Callithrix jacchus: one gene and its partners. The protein of the gene in region 2 interacts with the protein of the main gene of each other region in a pairwise test. Links are inferred from orthologs where the notes say so. Each region holds a gene or a part of one and is shown on either strand. Other genes may lie near its edges.

Region 1 (7,720 bases), on a different chromosome or scaffold from region 2:
GCATGGTGGCTCACACCTGTAATCCCAGCACTTTGGGAGGCTGAGGTGGGCGAATCACAAGGTCAGGAGTTCGAGACCATCCTGGCCAACACGGTGAAATCTCATCTCTACTAAAATACAAAAAATTAGCCACGCATGAGGGCGGGGAGAAGAGAGGAGGAAAGAAAACTGAGCTTCCTGCCCTGAGGGCCCCGAAGGCCAAGACACCAGGAGGCTGAGCACGGGGGAGTGGTCCTCGAGCCGTCCCTTCAGATCTGGCAGAGAAAGTCGCCGCACAAGGAGATACTCCATGTCCACAGATTCAACCACGTCCCAGGAGAGGCCTCTCAGTGTCACTTGCGGAACACAAGCCCTGGTGGCCTGCCCAGCCACACTGCTTTTCCTCTTCACAGGGGTCATGGGGCCAGCTCACAGATGCTTCTCCCTCTCACTGCCAGGCTGCTCTTCCCGCAAAAGATTCAAGATAAGGAGTCTCCCCAAAGGGCGGTGATTCCTGCCTGGCCTCCCTGCCAGACAGGACGGCCCTCATCAGAGAAGAGTCAATGCTGCGCCTCCGCCTCTCCCTCTTACCCCTCAACTCAAGATCTGTCTGTAGAAGGCAGAAAGCCCTTCCTCCCATCTAGGCTTCGTCCCTTCTGTAAGAGCATCGTGCTGTAGCTCTCATGTCCTCAGGGGAGGCGGAAACCTGCAACCTCATGCCCTCTCGGTAGCAGTCAGTCAGCAGGACAGGGTGCATTCTCTTTTCCTCTGTCTCAAGTCCCATTAGCCTTCTCCACAATCAATCATCCCCAGGCCCAGGGTCCCCACCTGCCCTCATGGGATGCAGAATGGTAGTGGCAAGCTTGGTACTCCGGCTGCACCATCACATAAAGAGAACCCATTTCCCAGACCCCAAATCCACGCCCATTCTGGTGTCAGATGTCCAGCTGGCAGCAACGCCAGAACCAGGCAGGTCTGGAGGACAATCTGACACCAGCTCCTCCCTAGAGGGCCAAGGCTCTGGCTGACAGGCAGCACGCATGCCCCCTACCTCCATCACCAGAAAGGCCCTCCCGGCAGCTGCCTATCTCAGGTCTCTTGGGCTCCAGAGCAGAGGACAGCCAGTTCCCCGTCAAGAGCAGCCTGGCAGCACTGCCTGGCCCACTCCAGCAGGGCATTAGCCCAGGCCTAAATCAGACTCCCGTTTCTCTCCACTCCCCACAGAGCAGCACCCCGTTATCTTGGCACAACCCCAGCCTCCAGCAAAGCAGGCAACTCCCACCTCTTACACAGGGACAAGCCCAAAACACCCATGGTTCTACCTAAGTCAAGCTAGGAGGCAGCACAGCTTTGACCCCGGCCTCCTGTTTCCTGCTCAACCTCCTCCCAACACTCACCACAGCCCTGCCTTACGGAGAAGCCTCCTCCACTGGGAACTAAAGATCAAGCCACTGGGGAGGTTTCAGAGGGCTGCTGGCCGGGACAGGTATCACTCGTGCCTACCAAACCTGCCCTACATTCACCAGCCACATTCTTTATTCTCTTCTCAGCCAGAGGCTCTCAAAAGGGAGTGCAGAAACTTCCACTCACACCTGTAATCCCAGCACTTTGGGAAGCTGAGGCAGATGGATCACCTGAGGCCAGGAGTTCGAGACCAGCCTGCCCAACGTGGCAAAACCCTGTCTCTACTAAAAATACAAAAAATTAGCCAGCCATGGTGGCCCGAGCCTATAATCCCTGCTACTTGGGAGGCTGAGGCAGGACAGTCACTTGAACCCGGGAGGTGGAGGTTGCAGTGAGCCGAGATTGCACAACTGCACTTCAGACTGGTGACAGAGCGGATTCCATCTCAAGAAAAAAAAATCCTTTTCAGAGCTACATGAGGCAATACGGCAGGATGGGTTCTGGGCTTGGAATCAGGGCCCAAATGCCAGTCTTGGTGCTGCTTGGGTCTCACTGTACGACCCTGGGCAAATTACTTAAGTTCCCTGAGTTTCAATTTCCTCATCTGTAGAATGGGGATAATGATACCCGCTTCTTTTTTTCTGAGACAGAGGCTCACTCTGTAGCCCAGGCTGGAGTACGGTGACACAGCTCACTGCAGCCTTGAGCTCCCTGGACTCAGGTAATACTCCCACCTCAGCCTTCCCAGTAGCCGGGACCACAGGCTTGCACCACCATGCCCAGTTAATTTTTCTATTTTTTGTAGAGACAGGGTTTTGCCATGTTGCCCAGGCTGGTCTGGAACTCCTGGGCTCAAGCAACCTGCCCCTCTGGGCCTCCTAAAGTGCTGGGATTACAGGTTTGAGCCATCGAGCCTGGGCAGCCTTAAGTTTGAAGTGAGACTAGCTAATGAAAGTGCTTGGTTTCTGTAAAGTCTTACCTTGATCTTGAGTTACCATTTGTCAAGTACTTACAGGGCAGATAGGTATTAGTATTCCCATTTTGACAAAGAGGTCACTGAGGCTCAGGTAATGGAATGAGGGACAGAGGTGGGTCTCAAACCCAGCTCAGTTCAAGCCCAAAGCCCTGTGCTCAGAACTGCCCCACCATCCCATCTCTCCAAATAAACAGTCCTTCTGTAGACTAGTCAATGGACCGATCTCATCCTAAAGTGGCTCCAGGAAGGGAAAAAGGCTGGCAGCCCTAGCCTGTCTTTTCTTGTTCCTATGCACTGAATTCTCAAAGCCTCAGCCCTGGCATTCCAAACAGAAGTTCCAGAGGGAATGGGGTGGAGCCAGGGTGCAGGGGAGGGGTGGAGTGGGTTCGGGAGGGCTCAAGTCACCCAAGCTGGGCTCCATCTAGCAAGAAATGACTAACTGGATCCTATCTTCTCCTCCTCCCCCGCGCCCCCAGTCCAGTCAGTGGCCAGTTTTCACCAGGCATCTCCTAGCAGTACTTCCTCAGTAGTATCTTTTCATCATAGCCACAAACCAGATTAGCTAAACTAATCATTTAGCCAACACAATTACAATGCCCTCCCCTCCTCCACCTTGGCACGGAGAAGAGGGAAAGCAGGTTATTTTTGCCCAAACTCCGTGCCCTGTTGCTCCCCAGAGGCAGGCAGCACCCCTTTCCCCAGCAGAAAAGGATCTGAGTTCCCACACTGGCTTCCCCCTGGTCCAGGGCTGTGCATGATCCCCACCCAGGACAAAGGGGCTGAGTCTGGCCCCCCAGCCTCAATCCCCCATCTACAGCAAAGAAAGAGGTGGCAGGCTCTTCCCCTCCAAGCACTCTCGATCCCCAGTTCTGCAATCTTTCTCCCACCCCCAGGACTGAGAGAGAACCCAACTCTTATATTCCCTCTCTGTTCCCAAGGCTGGGCTCCAAATCCTGCAAAATGACCGCACTTAGGACTTTTTAAAACCAGGGTAGAAAGCCTGGTGACGACCCCCAATTCTGGAGGCGGGGTCTCAGGAAATTGGGAGTAGGGAAGGAGGTGGGGGCGGTGGGGGGGGGCATTCACCTCTCCTGAGGGAGTCTAACATTGAAGAAACCTTCCCCTCCAAAAGCCTTTCTCCAGTCTCACTTTCCCTGTCAAATTCTTTCAGGAAAGGGGATAGGAAAGGTCTGCCCAGGCCTCCAGAAAGCATGCACCTTCATAATTCAGAAATCAAATGGAAGGCAAGCCCCACAGCCTCATGCTCTTCTGCCTCAATTACCAGCCAGCTAAGTAATGTGGGGGATGGGGTAGAGAAAAAAAAAAGACAAGAACATCCATTCCCCCCACCTTCCTAGCTTGGCCCAGCCCTGCCCCACCCCCATTCCTGGGGAGGGGGCAGAGCTTGAGAAAGAGCCACTCACGCAGGCCATGTCTGAGGGGGTGTGGTGGTCCCCGGAGGCAGGAAGAGAAAGAGAAGGAAGAAGCTGCTTCCCCTCTCGGCCCTTTCCACCCACCCCACCCCGGCCCCCACCTCAGGCCCCTGGGGCGCAGCTAACAGGATGGATGTGGGGGCAGGGAAGCCAGGGTCAGAGCGCAGGCAAAGGCCCAGGTTCAGCCGGGGGCCGGCTGGGGGAGGGGACTTTGCACCAAGAAGGACCTCCTAAGCCTAAAGGAAGTTCTGGGCAAGGAGACGGGAAAACCCCCAGAGAACGCTGCTGTGAATACTTCCTCCTGCAAAGTTTGTTTTGGGTGATTTTTCCAACAATAAGAGGTTAGAAAAGAAGACGATTCCTGTTCCCCTACCAACACTCTGGCAGCCACAGCTACTGGAAACTGGGCCAGGTGACCCTGAATGCTTCACTCGTGCACAGACCCCTCCCCCCAGACCGAGCCACGGGTGCCAAACACCAGCTGGACACTGGGCCGAGCCGTGCACCAGCCCCCACTGTCACTCCATCCCACCTCTGCTGGAGAAGCCAGAGCCGGGCACCCACTGGAGTGGAGGGAGGCGCCGCAGGTAGTATCGACGAGGCTCCGGGAGCTGGAGGGCTGGGCCTCTGGACTCCGTGCGCTCACCTGCTCGGCAGGTGGGGCCAGCGTCACTGGGAAAATGTGCGCTCGGCCCCCACAGTTGGGCAAGCTGGGCGCAGACAATAGGGCCCCACCCAGGCCTGGGGGAGTAGAGAGGGAGGGAAAGCGAGGATGACGCGTGGGGTGGGGTGAGGGTGGCCCCAAAGAGACCAGCGGCAGCAAGTTTCCCAAACGGTAAATTACTGACTGCAGCGAGAGCCCTGGGACGCAGTCAAAGCAGGGCAAAGTCTCCCCCTCCAGCTCAGGACGAGAGTCAGGGACGCGGCGTCGGGCGAGCTGTGCGGGCCCCGGGAGGGGCGCGACCCCCGAGGCATCTGCCCGGAGCCCTCCCGCCCTGCTCAGATCTCCCGCTCGCGGAGCTCCTAAGCGCGCTCGGCCCGAACCGCGCGCCCCCCCAGTCGCCGCGCCCAGGACCCCAGCGCGCCCCCTGCTGCCAGTGCAGGGTGGCGCTCCATGGCACCCGCCCTCACCTGCCCAGAGACTGCTGGGACCGGCCCCGCGGCCGCTCGCCACCCCTTCTCTCCCCATCGATACCTGTCCTCGATCGCCCGCACCTGAGTCTGGGGCCTGGCCGGCCGGGTAGAAATCGGGCCGGGGTGGGAGCCGGCGCGGACAGCGAACTGAACTCGGCGCGCTCGGGCGGCGGCTGCTCCGGACTCTGGCCAAGGCAGCAACTCAGTAACCGAACAAAAGGCGAAGAGACCTGACAGCCAAGCCACGCCCCTCGCCACCTCGAAACTCCGCCCCTGGGGGAGACGCCCACCCGCTGATGCGAGCTCACTGGCTGTCTCGCCTGACTGTCCCGTCAAGGGGTGGAGCCTCGCGTCCAGTCCTTCTCCACGGCCGCCTCTGTTTATCCGCTTGCCATTGGCCCCAGGGACTGCCAGTCGGCTCTAGGGATGGACTCTAACTTGAGATCTCATCCTAACACTTCACCAATTGGCAGATAGAAAGTTACTTTCTCCTGATTGGGCAAGGGACTGTCAGTAAGACTAAGGAAAAAAACCAATGGAAGGTATGGGGTGTGTCTTGCCCCACCCTTGCTCTGAGCAGGTGAGACTCACTACTCTCCCCTTCCCCCTACCTGTCCAACAGGTAAGTCAGGGGATACCAAGGGAAGGGACAGACGCCTTCACCAGCCAGCCAACTCAGCGTCAGGCATGATGCTTCTTTGGGCTTATTCATCCTTGCCCCAAAGTGGTAATAACATATTTGTATGGCATTTCATAGGCTTTGTGCTGGGTTGGGATTTTTTTCCCCAAAGATGGAGTACTTCTGGGATTCAGAATTAGAAGGCCAGGGTTTGTGTTTTGCCGCTTACTATGACCTTAGACAAGTTACTTCACCCTTCCCGCTGTTTCTCCTCATCTGTAAACTGGGTACATTAGCCATATCTACCTCACTGGAGTATGTGGGGATTAAATGAAGTCAGGTTTGTGGAAGCACTCAGAAACTGATAAAGATTAGAATTTAAATTAATGGTATGGGTTTTTTGTTTTCGTTTTTCTTTTTTAATTCTCGTGACAGCTCTGAAAAATAGGACTAGAAAATGATCCTCATCGTAAAGATGAAGAAACCGAGGTTCAGAGAAATCACAAAACTACAAAGTGACACACCCCAAGCTAGAACCACCTTCCTCTCATTTGAAGGACCACCAAATCAGCTGTTCCCCTCATGGAAGAAGAGCATAGACATAAAATGTCAAGGCAGTGGGGAAGGGGCAGAGAAAAGGCACAAGATAGAGACAAGATAGAAAAATTGGAGGTGAGATAGAACAACTGCTTGGCCCAAAAATACAGTATTGGTGTCAGGAGGCTTTGGTGGGCTTGGAAACATCAAGCTGCAGATCTGAAGGAAATCCAGCCCTAGCATGAAAGAAACAGGGCAGGCGGGGTGCACTGGCTCACGCCTGTAATCCCAGCACATTGGGAAGCCGAGGCGGGTGGATCACCTGAGGTCGAGAGTTTGAGACCAGCCTGGCCAATATGGTGAAACCCCGTCTCTACTAAAAATAGAAGTTAGGCTTTCATGGTGGCAGGCACCTGTAATCCCAGTTGCTTGGGAGGCAGAGGCAGGAGAATTGCTTGAACTTGGGAGGCAAAGGTTGCAGTGAGCCAAGATCCTGCCACTGCACTCTAGCCTGGGCATGACAGAGCAAGGCTCCATCTCAAACCAAGGAAAAAAGAAACTGGGCAGCATACCCCTCCACGGTGGGAGAGCCTGGAGTAGAGATCAGAAAGAATTTCTCAGCCAGGTGTGGTGGTTTGTGCCTGTAATCCTAGCACTTTGGGAGGCCAAGGTGGGCAGATCACTTGAGGTCAGGAGTTTGAGACCAGCCTGGGCAGTGTGGTGAAACCCTGTCTCTATTAAAAATACAAAAATTAGCCAGGATGGTGGTGGGCACCTGTAATCCCAGCATTTGGGAGGCAGACACAAGCAGATCACCTGAGGTCAGGAGTTCGAGACCAGCCTGGCCAACATGGTGAAACACTGTCTCTGCTAAAAATACAAAAATTAGCCCGGTGTGGCAGTGGGCATCTATAATCCCAGCTACTCAGGAGGCTGAGGCAGGAGAATCGCTTGAACCCAGGAGGCAGAGGTTGCAATGAGCCAAGATCATGCCATTGCACTCTAACCTGGTGACAGAGTGAGACTCTGTCTCAAAAAAATAAGAACTTCTCATAGGCAGCTTAAGAAGACAAGGACACTTCCTTTCTGTAGTTGATGATGTGAATCCTGCTTATGCTGCTGGTGGCTGTATGGTGTGTCAAGGGCCCTACAAACATTCCTTCATTCAGCACTTGAGTATTGAGTGTCAACTGTATGTTAGGCACTGGTGAATACAGAAAGTAAAACCTGGTGACACAGAAAATAAAAATCTCAACCTTCACTGAGCTCATAGAATGATATGCAGAAGGAGCCTGTGGGTGGGTGCTGGGGGAATGGTGGTTTAGAAAAGGGTCCCCCATTTGGGCCGGGCGCGGTGGCTCACGCCTGTAATCCCAGCTACTCGGGAGGCTGAGGCAGGAGAATTGCCTGAACCCAGAAGGCGGAGGTTGCGGTGAGCTGAGATCGCGCCATTGCACTCCCGCCTGGGTAAACAAGAGCGAAACTCCATCTCGGGGCGGGGGGGGAAAGAAAGAAAAGAAAAGGGTCCCCCATCAACAAAGCTCTACAGCCTCAAAGCTAGCACACAGGATGGGCTGGATGAAGGTACCTTAGCAGCATCCTTGACCATTTTCCCCACTGGAGAAAGGACTGGCAGCT
Region 2 (7,444 bases):
GGAGAAGGAGGAGAAGGGTGGGAAGGCCAGAAAGAAAGGTAGGGGACTTGTCTCGAAGGCCCAGTGTCAACAAGCTTTAACTTTCCTGTTATAGGACTGTGGCAAACATAGCTGATTTTCCACTTAGTACCATCTAATTTTCTTTCTTCCCAATTTCAATTTGGGGAGCAATATACCCAGCTAAACTCCCCCAAGATTCCTTCTAGCTAATGGTAGCCATGATATATAGTTTGGGTAAAAGAGACATAAATGAGTGTTCTTGTTTCTCCCCTTCCTGACTGAATGAATATGTAAGGTCTGAAGGTATAGCAACCATATTGGGACTATGAGATGAAAATATGTACGTGCATATAGAAAATGGCAAAGCAGAAAGGTGGAAAGAGGCGTTTCCTGTTCCATTTGAGAATTTCCTATTCCCAGATTTCTTTGTTCTTTCTTTTAAAAAAAAATGGTGACAAGTGACTATATATTTGAAACATCATTTCTTATTTATTTAAAAAAATTTCTTGAAACAATAAGATATGATTTCATGAGAAAAAAGAGTTGTCAAATGAAGCTCCCTTTACAGCTTGGAGAATACTATTTAGAAATAAAATTGATAATTAATTTGCCTTTTTGATGGAATGTTTTCATTTATAATTTTGGATATCGCCCTTTCTTGGATTAACTTTTTTTTTTTTTGAGACAGCGTTTCACTTTTGTTGTCCAGGTTGGAGTGCGGTGGCACTATCTTGGCTCACTGCAACCTCTACCTCCTGGGTTCAAGCGATTTTCCTGCCTCAGCCTCCAAGTAGCTGAAATTACAGGCTCCTGCCCCCACGGCCAGCTAATTTTTGTATTTTTAGTAGAGACGGGGTTTTCACCATGTGGGCCAGGCTGGTCTTGAACTCCTGACTTCAGGTCATCTATCCGCCTCTGCCTCCCAAAGCGCTGGGATTACAGGTGTGAGTCACTGTGCCCAGCCAGGATTGGCATTTTAATGCAGTGTCAAATATTTTTTAATTTTTTAAATGGAAATGAGTAAGTTATACACCATTTTATTCTCTTGGATACAGGAATGGTATTAATCTCCCAGGTTTTTCGAGACAAATCTCTATGAGTTTAAGCCACTAGAATTGGATTTTCTGTTATTTGCGGCTAAATGTAATCCTGACTGATACAGGAAAGGCGACCAGTTAGGAAACTAATGCAGTTGCTTTTAAGTGACTTAAATGGGGGAGGAAATGGTGGGGATTGGGCACAGAGGATGGATTGAAAATGTAAATATGGTCAAGAGATCGAGACCATCCTGGTCAACATGGTGAAACCCCGTCTCTACTAAAAATTACAAAAAATTAGCTGGGCATGGTGGCGCGTGCCTGTAATCCCAGCTACTCAGGAGGCTGAGGCAGGAGAATTGCCTGAACCCAGGGGGCGGAGGTTGCGGTGAGCCGAGATTGCGCCATTGCACTCCAGCCTGGGTAACAAGAGCGAAACTCCGTCTCAAAAAAAAAAAAAAAAAAAAAAAAAAAAAAAAAAAAAAAAAAGAAAATGTAAATATGGGCTGGGTGCGGTGGCTCATGCCTGTAATCCCAGCACTTTGGGAGGCTGAGGTGGGTGGATCATGAGGTCAGGAGTTCAAGACCAGCCTGGCCAAGATGGTGAAATCCGGTCTCTACGAAAAATACAAAAAAACTAGCTGGCATGATAGCGGGCACCTGTAATCCCAGATACTCGGGAGGCCAAGGCAGAGAATTACTTGAACCTGGGAGGTGGAGGTTGCAGTGAGCCGAGATCACGCCACTACACGCCAGCCTGGGCAGCGGAGTGAGACTCCGTCGCAAAAAAAAGAAAAAAGAAAATGTAAATGTGGTGAGTGTGTGTGTTTGTTCAGTCAGGTCTCAAATAGGATGGGGCTGTGTGGGTGGAATCCACTTCAGGTACCACGGAAAACTATCCCTAGCCTTGAAGTATCAGGGAAGTCCATAAAAGCACCTGGGAAGCATGGAGTGGGAGAGAGATGGTGAAAGTGGGTGGAAGGTAGCAGACAGGGGATGTGTAGGGTTTCAAAGATTAACCTCACAATTTTCTTATTTGAAACATAATACTGGGTCCATGTAGAAATTTTAGAAAACCCAGTTAAGGAAAAAACTATTTAAGAAAATAAAAAGCTCCCCAAATCACAACACCCAGGGATAATAATCCCTGCTAACATTTTGGTGTATTTCTTTCCAGTCTCCATTCATTCTCCAGCTCTCTCTCTCTCTCTCCCATTCTTCCCACATAGATGGGTATACACAGGAATTGCTTAACAAAAACGTCATCATAATATGATATGCTGTTTTTTGATCTGTCCTACTTTTTGCATTTGGCAATGCATTGGGAAGGCCCGCCCACATTATTAACACAATTTTAATGGCTTCATGTGTAGTGTTTCATTATGTGAATGTATCTAAGATGCTTTATAAGTAGAACTTTAAAATTGCTTTTATTATCTTCCATTTCATATCACGTTTGGATGTGGTCTGGAAACCATTGGAAGTGATTCTGGGATGAAAGGGAAGGTGGCTAGGTTTGTTCTTAGTTTAGTAAGGTGTAGTATCATCAGGCTGTGATAACCCGAAAACTTGCGTCAATATTTATATTCATTTTATTTCTATTTTGCCAAGTTGCTCTTCACATAGTGCACGAAGACCTACTTTGCCTTTTAGGACAGTGGAAGGACTTCTCTCTTGGTGTAAACAGTGCATATTTGCAGCACTGATTTTTATCGGCTTTTTTACAGCGTGTAAAACGACTCCGTTAGCTGACAGGTATGGAAAATACGGAGGAAAGAGTAAGAGGTTCCATTTGAAGGCGTCTAATTAAAAAAAAAAAAAAAATCGAAAAGATCAGAAGCACCCGCTTTCGCAGCGAGCAGGGTTCGAACCTGCGCGGGGAGACCCCATTGGATTTCAAGTCCAACGCCTTAACCACTCGGCCATCGCTGCCATGAAGAGATAGGGGAGGCGGAGACACTTTAGTGTAACCACTACTGCGCTGGCGCCAGGCCCGTGAAGGCGGGGCGTGCACCCTTCTGAGCTCTGCTCGGTGAGAGGCGTCGGGGCTGAGGACTTGGGGTGCGGGAACTACAGCGTGGACACGAAGAAATAATAGAAAGCACCCTATGTAGAGGTATATTCAGATGTTAGAAACTCTTCCCTTCGCTGTGCTCCGAAAATCGCAACCTTGCCTGGCTTCTGGTCACTGACCTGGTTTTCCCCCTCCCGCTTCTTTATTAGGTCTACCAGAGGGCCGTGAAACAAAGATCTGTTCCGTTCCGTGCTGCGGGCCCGCGCTCCCGAAAATTTTGCATTTCTGTGAGAGGAGCGTCTTCCGTGGCGTTTCCCGCCAAGACGGGGGTCTCCTTCAGAACAGTTTCTTTTGCTGATTGAGCCTGGAAGCGTGACGAACCGGGATACTGGCCATCCTTCCCGGGCTTCTGCCCAAGCAGCCGTCTCCCAGTTTTTAAATTCCCAGTGATCCCCTCATTGCCGAGCTTAACCGTGAGACGTCAGGCTCCAAGAGTGCTCTGCGTTCTATCAGCAGACGGGTGGCCTGGAACGTTGTCTGAGAACCAAGTTCTGCGCATTAGTCTGCATTCATTACCATTAAATGCCATTAATGCCTTCCCGGGTTCGGTGTGGCTTCTGCCCTAGGTGCTTTATCCGCGTTATTTCTTCAAACTCTGAGAACCGAGGTCTGTGCTGTCTTCGGCCACCTCAGGGCACTGAGACTTGGGTTTGTGTCCGCGGGTTGGCGCGGCTTATGCGCGGCACGTGGCGCCACGGGAGAGCCAAGTTCCGTCGATGGACAATTTGAGACAAAGAAGGCCTTTCACTAGGTTAAGTTTCTAGAAGTGTTCGTGGATGTGCCACCGTCATTCTCATAATGGCACATTTCATAATAAGGAGGGCAACTCGACCTTTGGAAGCCTCTCTACGTTAAGTGATTCCACTTGATAAGGTGTGTAAATTTTCTTGAGACCTTCTCATACCATTCTCGAAACCAAATTATGGTGCTAAGTGTCTACACTCACTTAATTGTGGAAGAGGAGCGGAATATTTGAGACTTGTAAGGACAAATTTTGTCTTATTTGAGATTGTTCTTTTAGGCATTTTATCTTTAAAAAAAAATTTTGGCAGAGCTACCAGAGGGATCCCATTTTGTCTGAATACTGCATGGGAACAAAGTAATTCCCAACATTGCCAGGCATAAATTTTATCGTAAACACAAAATTCACTTGCACTTTTTCCAGTAGATACTGTCCAAGAACTGTTTTTATTCTTTAATCTTGTCCTTAGATTGTACCTGTGTCCTGAGATAACCTAGAATTTAACCTTACCATTTTCCTTCTTATATTTTAATTTTGAAGCCCTTTTTATCTATCTGTACCGCTGAATGATGATAATATTTACTGAAAGCACTTTTTCTTCTGTAACCTTCCCTTCCCCTTTAAAGAATCCTCTTCACTTGTTTAAAAGCTTGACAGTAATGGGAATTGATTATGGTTAAAATTGCTCAATCAAAATTTTTACTTTGAGAGGGCTTTTTTTTGGGGGGGAGGGGAAGGCAAGACTATGAGGAAAATAATCGATTCTAAAGTTATGGTGTATTTTGTGAGAACAGTTGTGATTAAAATGTCTTTGCAACATTTCAAGTGAAATACCTATATTTAACATTTAAACTTTTAGCTTGTTTGAGTTAATGCAGGCTTTTAAAACAGTGAAATAATATTTTTTTTGCTGTTATCATAGTGCTAGAGTGAGCCAAGAGATCAAAATTGGTATAGACTCCACCCCCCAAAAGTGTGAATTTCCAAATCCAAATGAGTTATTTTGGCTCCAATCTTAGGTCTCTACCATTGTCACCTTTTTGTTTTTTGTTTTTTTGAGACAGAGTCTTAACTCTGTTGTCGAGGCTGGAGTGCAGTGGAGTGATCTCAGCTCACTGCAAACTCTGCCTCCCAGCCTCAAGCAATTCTCCTGCCTCAGCTTCCTGAGTAGCTGCGATTACAGGCACTCGCCCCCATGCTCAGCTAATTTTTGTATTTTTAGTAGAGATGGGGTTTCACCATGTTGGTCAGGCTGGTCTCGAACTGCTGACCTCATGATCCGCCCACTTTGGCCTCCCAAAGTGCTGGGCTTACAGGTGTGAGCCACCACGCCTGGCCTTTAGCATTGTCATTTAATGCAGTGAGTGGCAAGTTAGGAATACAGAAGTAAAATACATATGTTTCTAATTCATGACAATAATAACATAAAACGTTGTTTTGCAACCATGTGCAAAGTTTAGTTTGTACAGAGCCACTGGTGATCCTGATGATCTCCTCCCTGCCACTCCCTGTTTCTGTTCTTTTATGTGGCAGTTTCTATTAAGCTAATTTGGCTTAACAGGGCATGTGATTGGGAGCAGCATGGCATTTCTTTGTTCTTTTATAGCAAATCAGAAATTTATCTTAAATTATTTTGATGGTTTTGGGAGCATTTTATAAAATCATAGAAGTTTAATGCTGGAAGAAATATTAAAGCTGGTCCAATCTCTTCATCTAGAGATGGGAAACTGGGGCCCATGAATAGCCTGCCCAAGTTCACATAGCTAATTACAGTCACGCATCTCATAATGACACTTGGGTCAATGGTGGACCACATATACAGCAGCAGTCCCATAAAACTTTAATACTGTATTTTCACTGTATATTTTCTTTGTTTAGATAGATATGTTTATATACACAAACACTATTATGTTACAGTTGCCTACTGAATATGCTGTATATGTTTGTAGTCCAGGAGCAATAGGCTACACCAGTGGTCCCCAACCTTTTTGCCACCAGAGACCAGTTTTGTGGAAGACAATTTTCCACAGGCTGGGGGAGGAGGGATGGTTTTGAGATGATTCAAGTGTATTACATTTAGTCTACACTTTATTTCTATTATTATTACATTGTAATACATAGCTCACCATAATGTAGAATCAGTGGGAGCCCTGAGCCTGAGCTTGTTTTCCTGCAGCTAGACAGTCCCATCTGGGGGTGATGGGAGGCAGTGACAGATCATCAGGCAATAGATTTTCATAAGGAATACACAACCTAGATCACAGTAGGTTGTGCACTTTATAGTAGGGTTCATGCTCCTATGGGAATCTAATGCTGATCTGACAGGAGGTGGAGCTCAGGTGGTAATGTGAGCAATGGGTAATGGCTGTGCATCAAGATGAAGGTTTACTCTCTCGCCTGCTCACCTCCTGCTATGTGGCATGGTTCCTAATAGGCCTCGGAGCAGTACTAGTTGGGGTACTGGAACTATATTATACAGACTAAGTGTGTGGTAGTCCATACCATCTAGATTTGTTTAAGTATACTCCACAACGTTTGCACATTGATGAAATCATCTAAGGATGGATTTTTCAGAATATATCCTTGTCATTAAGTGACACATGAGTGTATTGGCAGACAGGGCTATAACTTGTAATATTAGCTTAGTGTTCTCACTCGTTTTGTTGCCTTCATGTATTATTTGTTATTTTCTGGCACAATGGCACATAAATTGAGATGTGTAGATGGCAATAGGCAAAACCTCCAGCAGGGAAGAGTCACGAGTTGAATGTTGACGGCATATGAGATGTCAGATAATGTGTTGTGATGAGTATTTTTTGTTCTTTATTCCAGCATTTATCCTCCTGACATTGACACCTCAGTTGTACTTAAGGAGCACACCCCTCCGTCATTGAATGAAGCATTACTTTGTCTATCAATCAAGGTATCCCACCCTCCTCTGGCCAAAGAGTGGGCATGTGACTTGTATTTGTTTTCTATTGCTGCATGAGAAAGAGCCATGAACTTAGTGGCTTAAAGCAACACAAATTTATTACCTCACAGTTTCTGTAGGTCAGGAGTGTGGTTATGTGTTGACTGGGTCCTTTGCTCAGGGTTTCATCAGGTCTCAAGGTGGTGACTGGGGCTGCAGTCTCATCTGAGGTTTGGGGTCATCTAAGATAACTAGTTGTTGGCAGAATTTAGCTCCTGTGGTTGTTAGACTTGCTGGTTGTCAGTAGGGGGGCATTTTCACTTCCTATAGGCTGCCCACTGTTCCTTGCCATGTGGCTGTTTCAACAACATGGTACTTTGCTTCTTCAAGGTCAGCATGATAATTCCTCTGATGTCTGCTCAAATAGAGTTTTATATAATAGAATGCAACTATGAAAGTGATTATTCTATTATATTCACAAGTCCTGTCCAAGTGAAAGGGATTATTTAGGGTGTGTAACAGCAGGGTTTGGAATCTTGGGGCCATCTTAGAATTTTGCCTACCACACAATTCAGGCTGGACTAATCAGATCCCAAATCCCTGTTCTTTCTTTTACGCAATTGGATTATGAAAATTACACACAAAACACATAATAACCAACAAGAGGTGATCAAAGTATG
Region 3 (6,927 bases), on a different chromosome or scaffold from region 2:
TGGCCACCACCAGGTTGTTGAGCACGGCTATGATGTTGACCAGCACCTCGGCGGGCGGAGACTTCTCACCCACGCTGCCCGGTAGCTTCTCGATCAGGTGGCTCACGACCTTGGTGGCTGCGGGAGGTCGGGGGTCCGTCTACTCCCCACTCCAGCCACCCGGGCACTGGGGGTCCCCTGCCTCCCCCAGGGAGCTGCGTGCCTGTCTACTCCCTGTGGAGTGGCCGGGAGCCCCCGTAACGTGTGTGGACACGGCGGGGCGGGAACGGGGCTGCTCGACTCACACATCTCGTCCTTGTTCCGCGCGTTCCGAGACAGGTTTCGGATGAGGCCGGTCAGCGAGCGAAGCTGGTGGTGGTCGGCAGTGCGGACGCGGTCCAGCAGGGGGTTCAGGATCCGCTCCTGCTCCAGTGCCAGGCGGCTCAGCACCCCCGCCCACTGCAGGGAGAGAGGGAGGGAGGGAGGGAGGCACGCGCGGTGACCGGAGGCCTCAGACCCTCACCTGGGGGGATCCTGCCACCCTGGGGTCCCTGCATCCTCCTGCCACCCCGGGGGGTGGGGGCTCTGCTTCTGCCTTTGCCCCCAGGGACAAAGCCAGGGGCGTCAGCCCAGGCAGGATCAGGTGCCTCCCTTCAAACTCAGGGCAAAACCTAAGTCCTCCCAAGGCCCAAGGCCTGCCCACCGGTCGCTGGCCTCAGATGCTCCGAGGCACCACCTGCCTCCTCCCCTCCCCCTTCCTCTCCTGCCCCTCCCCCCGCAGCATGAACTCTCGGGAGCCCCTGGGTCTGGGGGTGCGCCCACCCTGCGGTCGCCCGCGGTGATGTTCTGCAGCGCCCCCGCGGCCGCCTCTGTCGTGTGCCGGTTGAGTTCGCAGCGCTGCAGCAGCCGGTTGTACAGCCCCACGATCTGGGGGCTCCACAGCCACTCGAGGCCCTTGGGGTCCTTGGACACTTCCGCGAAGGTGAGCGCGTCGGCTGTGAGAGGCAGCTGCGCGGGGCGGGGCCGGGGTCAGCGGGGCGGGGTCGGACCCACACCCCCCACGCCCCGCCCAGGCCTGTGCCCGCCCACCCCCACGCCCCGCCCAGGCCGGTGCCCGCACGCCCCGCACGCCCCGCCCAGGCCGGTGCCCGCCCACCCCACACGCCCCGCCCAGGCTGGAGTCCACGCCCCACCCAGGCCGTTGCCCGCACACCCCACGCCCCACCCAGGCCTGTGCCCATCGACTCCCCACGCCCCGCCCAGGCCGGTGCCCGCCCCTCCCCACGCCCCGCCCAGGCCGGTGCCCGCCCCTCCCCACGCCCCGCCCGGGCTGGTGCCTGCCCCTCCCCACGCCCCGCCCAGGCTGGTGCCCGCCCCTCCCCACGCCCCGCCCAGGCCGGTGCCCGCCCACCCCACACGCCCCGCCCAGGCTGGTGTCCGCGCCCCACCCAGGCCGTTGCCCGCACACCCCACACCCCACCCAGGCCTGTGCCCACCGACTCCCCACGCCCAGCCCAGGCCGGTGCCCGCCCACCCCGCACGCCCCGCCCAGGCCGGTGCCCACCTCGCGCAGCCGCCGGCTCTGCGGCGTGAAGCAGCCCACCATCTCGCCCGGCGGCGCCCCGGCCAGGTCCCTGCGGCCGCGGCCCTCCAGCCGCTGCAGCGCAGAAGGCGGCATCTCGTCGTACAGGCGGTAGGACAGGTTCCGCAGCACGCACACCGCGTTCTCCACGCTCTGCGGGCAGGGGCGCGGGTCAGGGCGGCGGCGTCGAGGGCCACGGGCCCCCCTCCGCAGCGCGGACCTCACCTTGTCCTCGCACTTGCCCACGTCCAGGGCGTGGTTGATGTAGGTGACCAGGGCGTCCACCAGTCCGTGGCACTCCCGCATTTTCTGGCGAGTGGCCTGAGAGGCTGAGCTGAGGTTCCTGGGGACAGAGGCAGATCAGAGCCCCCCAGGGACCCCCAGGCCCAGGCCCTGCTTTGGGCAGAGGCCCTGAGCACGATGCCGTCCCACCCTGGGCCCTGCTCGCCCCACCCCCAGTGCGCCCCTTGCAGTGTGTGGGGCTGTGGGCGCCGGGCCAGGCGGGGTCCCTGACAACACGTGCCTGCGGCCCCCACCCATCTGCCGAGGCCGCGCACCTGAGGAAGCCGGTGGCGTTGTAGAAGATCTCCGCCTCTGAGGCGTTCTGCTGGATGAGTGGGGGACCCCCAGACCCCGACAGGGGGCTCAGCACCAGGTCGGTGAGCTGTTCCAGAGTGTCTCTGGCCAGGCGGTCCTTCAGGTGGTCGCTGGATGAAAGGTTCCACAGGATTCCTGGACGAGGGGGAGGCTGCTGTGAGCGTCAGCCCTCCAACCCCCTGGGCGTTTCTGAGGATGGTGCGAGGAGGTCCTGCCTCTCCCCAGGGCTGGCCCTGTGTTCTGTGCCTCATTCACGAGCCCCACTGGGGAGACCCTGGGGTGGCATCTGGGGTGACAGAGCTCGGACCAAGCAAGAGGGGACGAGCTGGTTGGGGTGTGAGCGGGCTTGGGGTGGAGGTAGCTACCAGAAGACTCAGCCGCAGAACAGGGTGACCAGGGGTCCAGGAAAGAGGCAGGAGTGGAGGCCAAGTAGAAACAGCCAGCAAAGGGCTGAACAGCAGGATGGAGGGGAGCCGTATGGCGTGGAGGGGCCAGCACGGAGGAGAAAGGACAGTCGGAGGAGGGAGGGGAACAGGCAGAAGAGGGGTCAGGCGGAGGAAGGGACAGGCAGAGGAGTTGGAGGTAGAGGAGGGAGAACAGGTCGGGGGACACAGGACAGGAGGAATGGGGCCAGGCAGAGGGTGTAGGTGGAGGAGGGAGGACAGATGGAGGGCAGGTGGAGGAAGGCTGGGAGGAGGAGGGGCCAGGCAGCACCTGTGACGTTTTTGCGAAGCTCATCGTCCTGCTCCCGCAGGGTCCGAAGCAGCTCAAAGATCCCGTTCTCCTCCACCAGCGCCAGCTTGTTGTCTGCATTGTCGTAGATGAGGTTGCGCATGGCGCCTGTGGCGTGGCGCTGCACTTCCTGGTTGGCATGGTTAAAGAGCTTCACCAGCCTCGGCACGGCCTGAAGGCTGCGGGCCTGTGGGCACAGGGATATGGGGTGAACAGACTAGATACATGTGTGTAGATATGTCCAGGTGTATAGATATGGATATGCAGGTGATGCAGGTGTATACACAGGTGCAGAGGTGATGAGGTGTGTGCAGGGAGCTGGAGGTGATGCAGGTGTACACAGGTGCAGAGGTGATGAGGTGTGTGCAGGGAGCTGGAGGTGGTGTAGGTGTACACAGGTGTACGGAGGTGATGCAGGTGTACACAGGTGTACGGAGGTGATGCAGGTGTGTACACAGGTCTACGGAGGTGATGCAGGTGTATACAGAGGTGCAGAGGTGATGAGGTGTGTGCAGGGAGCTGGAGGTGATGCAGGTGTGTACAGGTGTACGGAGGTGATGCAGGTGTACACAGGTGTACGGAGGTGATGCAGGTGTGTACACGGGGCTACGGAGGTGATGCAGGTGTGTACACGGGGCTACGGAGGTGATGCAGGTGTGTACACGGGGCTACAGAGGTGGTGCAGGTGTGTACAGGGCTACGGAGGTGGTGCAGGTGTGTACAAGGCTACGGAGGTGATGCAGGTGTGTACACGGGGCTACAGAGGTGGTGCAGGTGTGTACAGGGCTACGGAGGTGGTGCAGGTGTGTACAAGGCTACGGAGGTGGTGCAGGTGTGTACACGGGGCTACGGAGATGATGCAGGTGTGTACACGGGGCTACGGAGGTGGTGCAGGTGTGTACAAGGGTACGGAGGTGATGCAGGTGTGTACACGGGGCTACGGAGGTGGTGCAGGTGTGTACACGGGGCTACGGAGGTGATGCAGGTGTGTACACGGGGCTACGGAGGTGGTGCAGGTGTGTACACGGGGCTACGGAGGTGGTGCAGGTGTGTACACGGGGCTACGGAGGTGGTGCAGGTGTGTACACGGGGCTACGGAGGTGGTGCAGGTGTGTACACGGGGCTACGGAGGTGGTGCAGGTGTGTACACGGGGCTACGGAGGTGGTGCAGGTGTGTACACGGGGCTACGGAGGTGGTGCAGGTGTGTACACGGGGCTACGGAGGTGGTGCAGGTGTGTACACGGGGCTACGGAGGTGGTGCAGGTGTGTACACGGGGCTACGGAGGTGGTGCAGGTGTGTACACGGGGCTACGGAGGTGGTGCAGGTGTGTACACGGGGCTACGGAGGTGGTGCAGGTGTGTACACGGGGCTACGGAGGTGGTGCAGGTGTGTACACGGGGCTACGGAGGTGGTGCAGGTGTGTACACGGGGCTACGGAGGTGGTGCAGGTGTGTACACCGGGCTACGGAGGTGGTGCAGGTGTGTACACGGGGCTACAGAGGTGGTGCACATGTACACGGGGCTACGGAGGTGATGCAGGTGTGTACACGGGGCTACGGAGGTGATGCACATGTACACGGGTCTACGGAGGTGATGCAGGTGTGTACAGGGCTACGGAGGTGGTGCAGGTGTGTACACGGGGCTACGGAGGTGATGTAGGTGTGTACAAGGCTACGGAGGTGATGCAGGTGTGTACACAGGTCTATGGAGGTGATGTAGGTGTGTACAAGGGTACAGAGGTGATGCAGGTGTGTACAGGGCTACGGAGGTGGTGCAGATCTGTATAGGGTATGGAGGTGATGCAGGTCTGTATAGGTATATGTGGCTGATACAGGTATATCCACATTGTATTCTCCTACTCTTCCTTTATGAGGGGGCTCTGGACAGAGTAGGGTCTGCCCAGTCAGCCTGGGGATCTTGAGGGGTGGTCAGGGAGCAAAGGTCAGTGGGAGGTGGTGGAGCCCCAAAGGTGGTCACCTGGGGGCAGTGAGCAGGTGGTCAGGGATGGTCACCTGGGGGCAGTGAGCGGGTGGTCAGGGGTGGTCACCTGGGGGCAGTGAGCGGGCGGTCAGGGGTGGTCACCTGGGGGCAGTGAGCGGGTGGTCAGGGGTGGTCACCTGGGGGCAGTGAGCGGGCGGTCAGGGGTGGTCACCTGGGGCAGTGAGCGGGCGGTCAGGGGTGGTCACCTGGGGGCAGTGAGCGGGTGGTCACCTGGGGGCAGTGAGCGGGTGGTCAGGGGTGGTCACCTGGGGGCAGTGAGCGGGTGGTCACCTGGGGCAGTGAGCGGGTGGTCAGGGGTGGTCACCTGGGGGCAGTGAGCGGGTGGTCAGGGGTGGTCACCTGGGGGCAGTGAGCGGGCGGTCAGGGGTGGTCACCTGCTTCTTGGCGGCGGCATCGCTGTAGCACTTGTGCTGGATGTAGGCTGCTCCCAGCACTTGCAGATTGGGGTCTGAAGCCATGAGGTACTTGACTGCTGATGGCAGGTCAATGTCATCAAAACTGCAGAGCCAGGAGTCAGAGGTCAGGGGTCAGGCTAAACTTGGGTTCAGGCTGGGGCCATGGCAGAAGCCCCCTCCCTGTGCCAGGCACAGCCCCTCACCCGCTGCTGAGCCTCTGCAGGGTTCGGTGGCCACTGTAGCTGTTGAACTCACGCACGTCCCCCAGGTGACCTGAGTCAGCCAGGCTGAGGCTGAGGCTGCGCACAGATGGTGCTCGGGCCACAGGCTCCAGGACGGGCCCAGGCGCTGTCCCGCCTACCCCGCGGCTCCGGTGGCTGCTCTGGAATCGCTGCAGGGTCCTCATAGCAGGGGCACGGATGGTCCGGCTCGGGGGAAGCTCGCTGGCCTCTGGCCAGTCCAGCCCCCCTGCCCGGGCCGAGCTGGAGCTGGCCTGGCGCTCGTAGGCAAAGGTCCTGTAGGTGGAGGTGGCCGCGGGCTCCAGCTGCTCAGACACCACACTGTAGCGGTCGTCCAGGCCCCCAGCCCCCAGCCGCAGGGAGCGCAGGGACAGCGTGTCATACTCGGCCCTGCTCCCAACCCCACCATGCTCGTGGAAGGACACAGGCCTGGTGGGCATGGGAGGGGTGGGCTGGGCACCCCCGTACCCAGCGGCCACAAAGGCGCTGCCCCCGTTGTGGGCGGAACTCAGCCTCCGACTGCAGCTCAGGTCCACGGCAGAGCGGGAGGACCAGGAGGCTGGACTGTAGGGTGGCTTGGCAATGGGCCGGAAGCCCTGTGGGTGGAGGGGGCAGTGAGGACGCGCCTGGCTCACCTGTGCCCAGCCTGCTGCAGAGCCTCCCGCTCTCCAGACTGCAGAGCCCAGATTGCCCCCCCCCAGGCTGGGCCATCACTCACCAAGGTCTTGTCCCCACTCAGGCCCTGAGAGCGAGAGCTGAAGCCGGCCTGCAGGGTGTGGTACTGCCCCCTGGATGCACCTGCGGAGAGGGACAGTGGGAGTCCAGCTCTGCCAGACAGCAACTCACTGGCCTCCTGCCTCCTCTCCACCAGTCCATCTCCATTCACAACCCTGGGAGCAGCCTCAGTCCCGGGCAGGGAGGCCAGGCGGGCCCGGGGGCCAGTGCCTCCCCGTTCCTGCCATGTCCTGATCTCCTCACCTGTCAGCCTGGTGGTCCACCTTCCACAGCCCACCCCCCAGCTGTGCCTCCTCTACCGGAGAAGGCAGATGCGCTCACCCTCTGACCTCCTGGTCCCTGGGGAATGTGCCAGGGACTCTCTGTCCAATCCCTGCCATGGTATAGCACCTGGCCCCCTCCTCCAGGAAGCCATCCTAGTCTGCCCCGGCCCACACTGACTTTTTTTGAGCTCCTCCTGTGCCCAGACCTCATCTGTGCCCAGTCACCGGAGAGTGCCCTGTCTCTCTAGACCAGTATGTCCTGTTGCAGTGCCCTCTCCCACCTGGCAGAGCCCGAGGCAGGGGCCACACCCATCCCATCCAGCCGCACACAGGCCAAGGGCAGCTGCATCAGCCCAGCCCCACAGTGAGTGGACAGACAGGTAGGTGGGTGGGGGGAGGGGG

What was found.
Region 1: the proteins of CTNNA3 (region 2) and JUP interact in binary tests that used the Homo sapiens proteins (3 or more experiments, as listed by UniProt). The link is inferred for Callithrix jacchus from reciprocal best matches to the Homo sapiens genes CTNNA3 and JUP.
Region 3: the proteins of CTNNA3 (region 2) and PKP3 interact in a two-hybrid assay, tested with the Homo sapiens proteins (2 studies listed by IntAct). The link is inferred for Callithrix jacchus from reciprocal best matches to the Homo sapiens genes CTNNA3 and PKP3.

What each region holds. Positions count from the first base shown.
Region 1 is NC_133506.1:91,454,123-91,461,842, reverse strand, and holds the start of JUP (junction plakoglobin), read right to left. Parts: upstream 4,838-7,720; 5' UTR 4,768-4,837; coding exon 4,641-4,767; exon of another isoform or gene 4,325-4,640; intron 1-4,324. UniProt on the Homo sapiens protein: Common junctional plaque protein. The membrane-associated plaques are architectural elements in an important strategic position to influence the arrangement and function of both the cytoskeleton and the cells within the tissue.
Region 2 is NC_133513.1:62,651,675-62,659,118, forward strand, and holds the start of CTNNA3 (catenin alpha-3), read left to right. Parts: upstream 1-3,040; 5' UTR 3,041-3,984; intron 3,985-6,685; 5' UTR 6,686-6,776; intron 6,777-7,444. UniProt on the Homo sapiens protein: May be involved in formation of stretch-resistant cell-cell adhesion complexes.
Region 3 is NC_133511.1:131,501,880-131,508,806, forward strand, and holds part of PKP3 (plakophilin-3), read right to left. Parts: intron 6,326-6,927; coding exon 6,246-6,325; intron 6,124-6,245; coding exon 5,492-6,123; intron 5,392-5,491; coding exon 5,268-5,391; intron 3,078-5,267; coding exon 2,873-3,077; intron 2,294-2,872; coding exon 2,119-2,293; intron 1,905-2,118; coding exon 1,787-1,904; intron 1,715-1,786; coding exon 1,544-1,714; intron 988-1,543; coding exon 802-987; intron 439-801; coding exon 285-438; intron 118-284; coding exon 1-117. UniProt on the Homo sapiens protein: A component of desmosome cell-cell junctions which are required for positive regulation of cellular adhesion. Required for the localization of DSG2, DSP and PKP2 to mature desmosome junctions.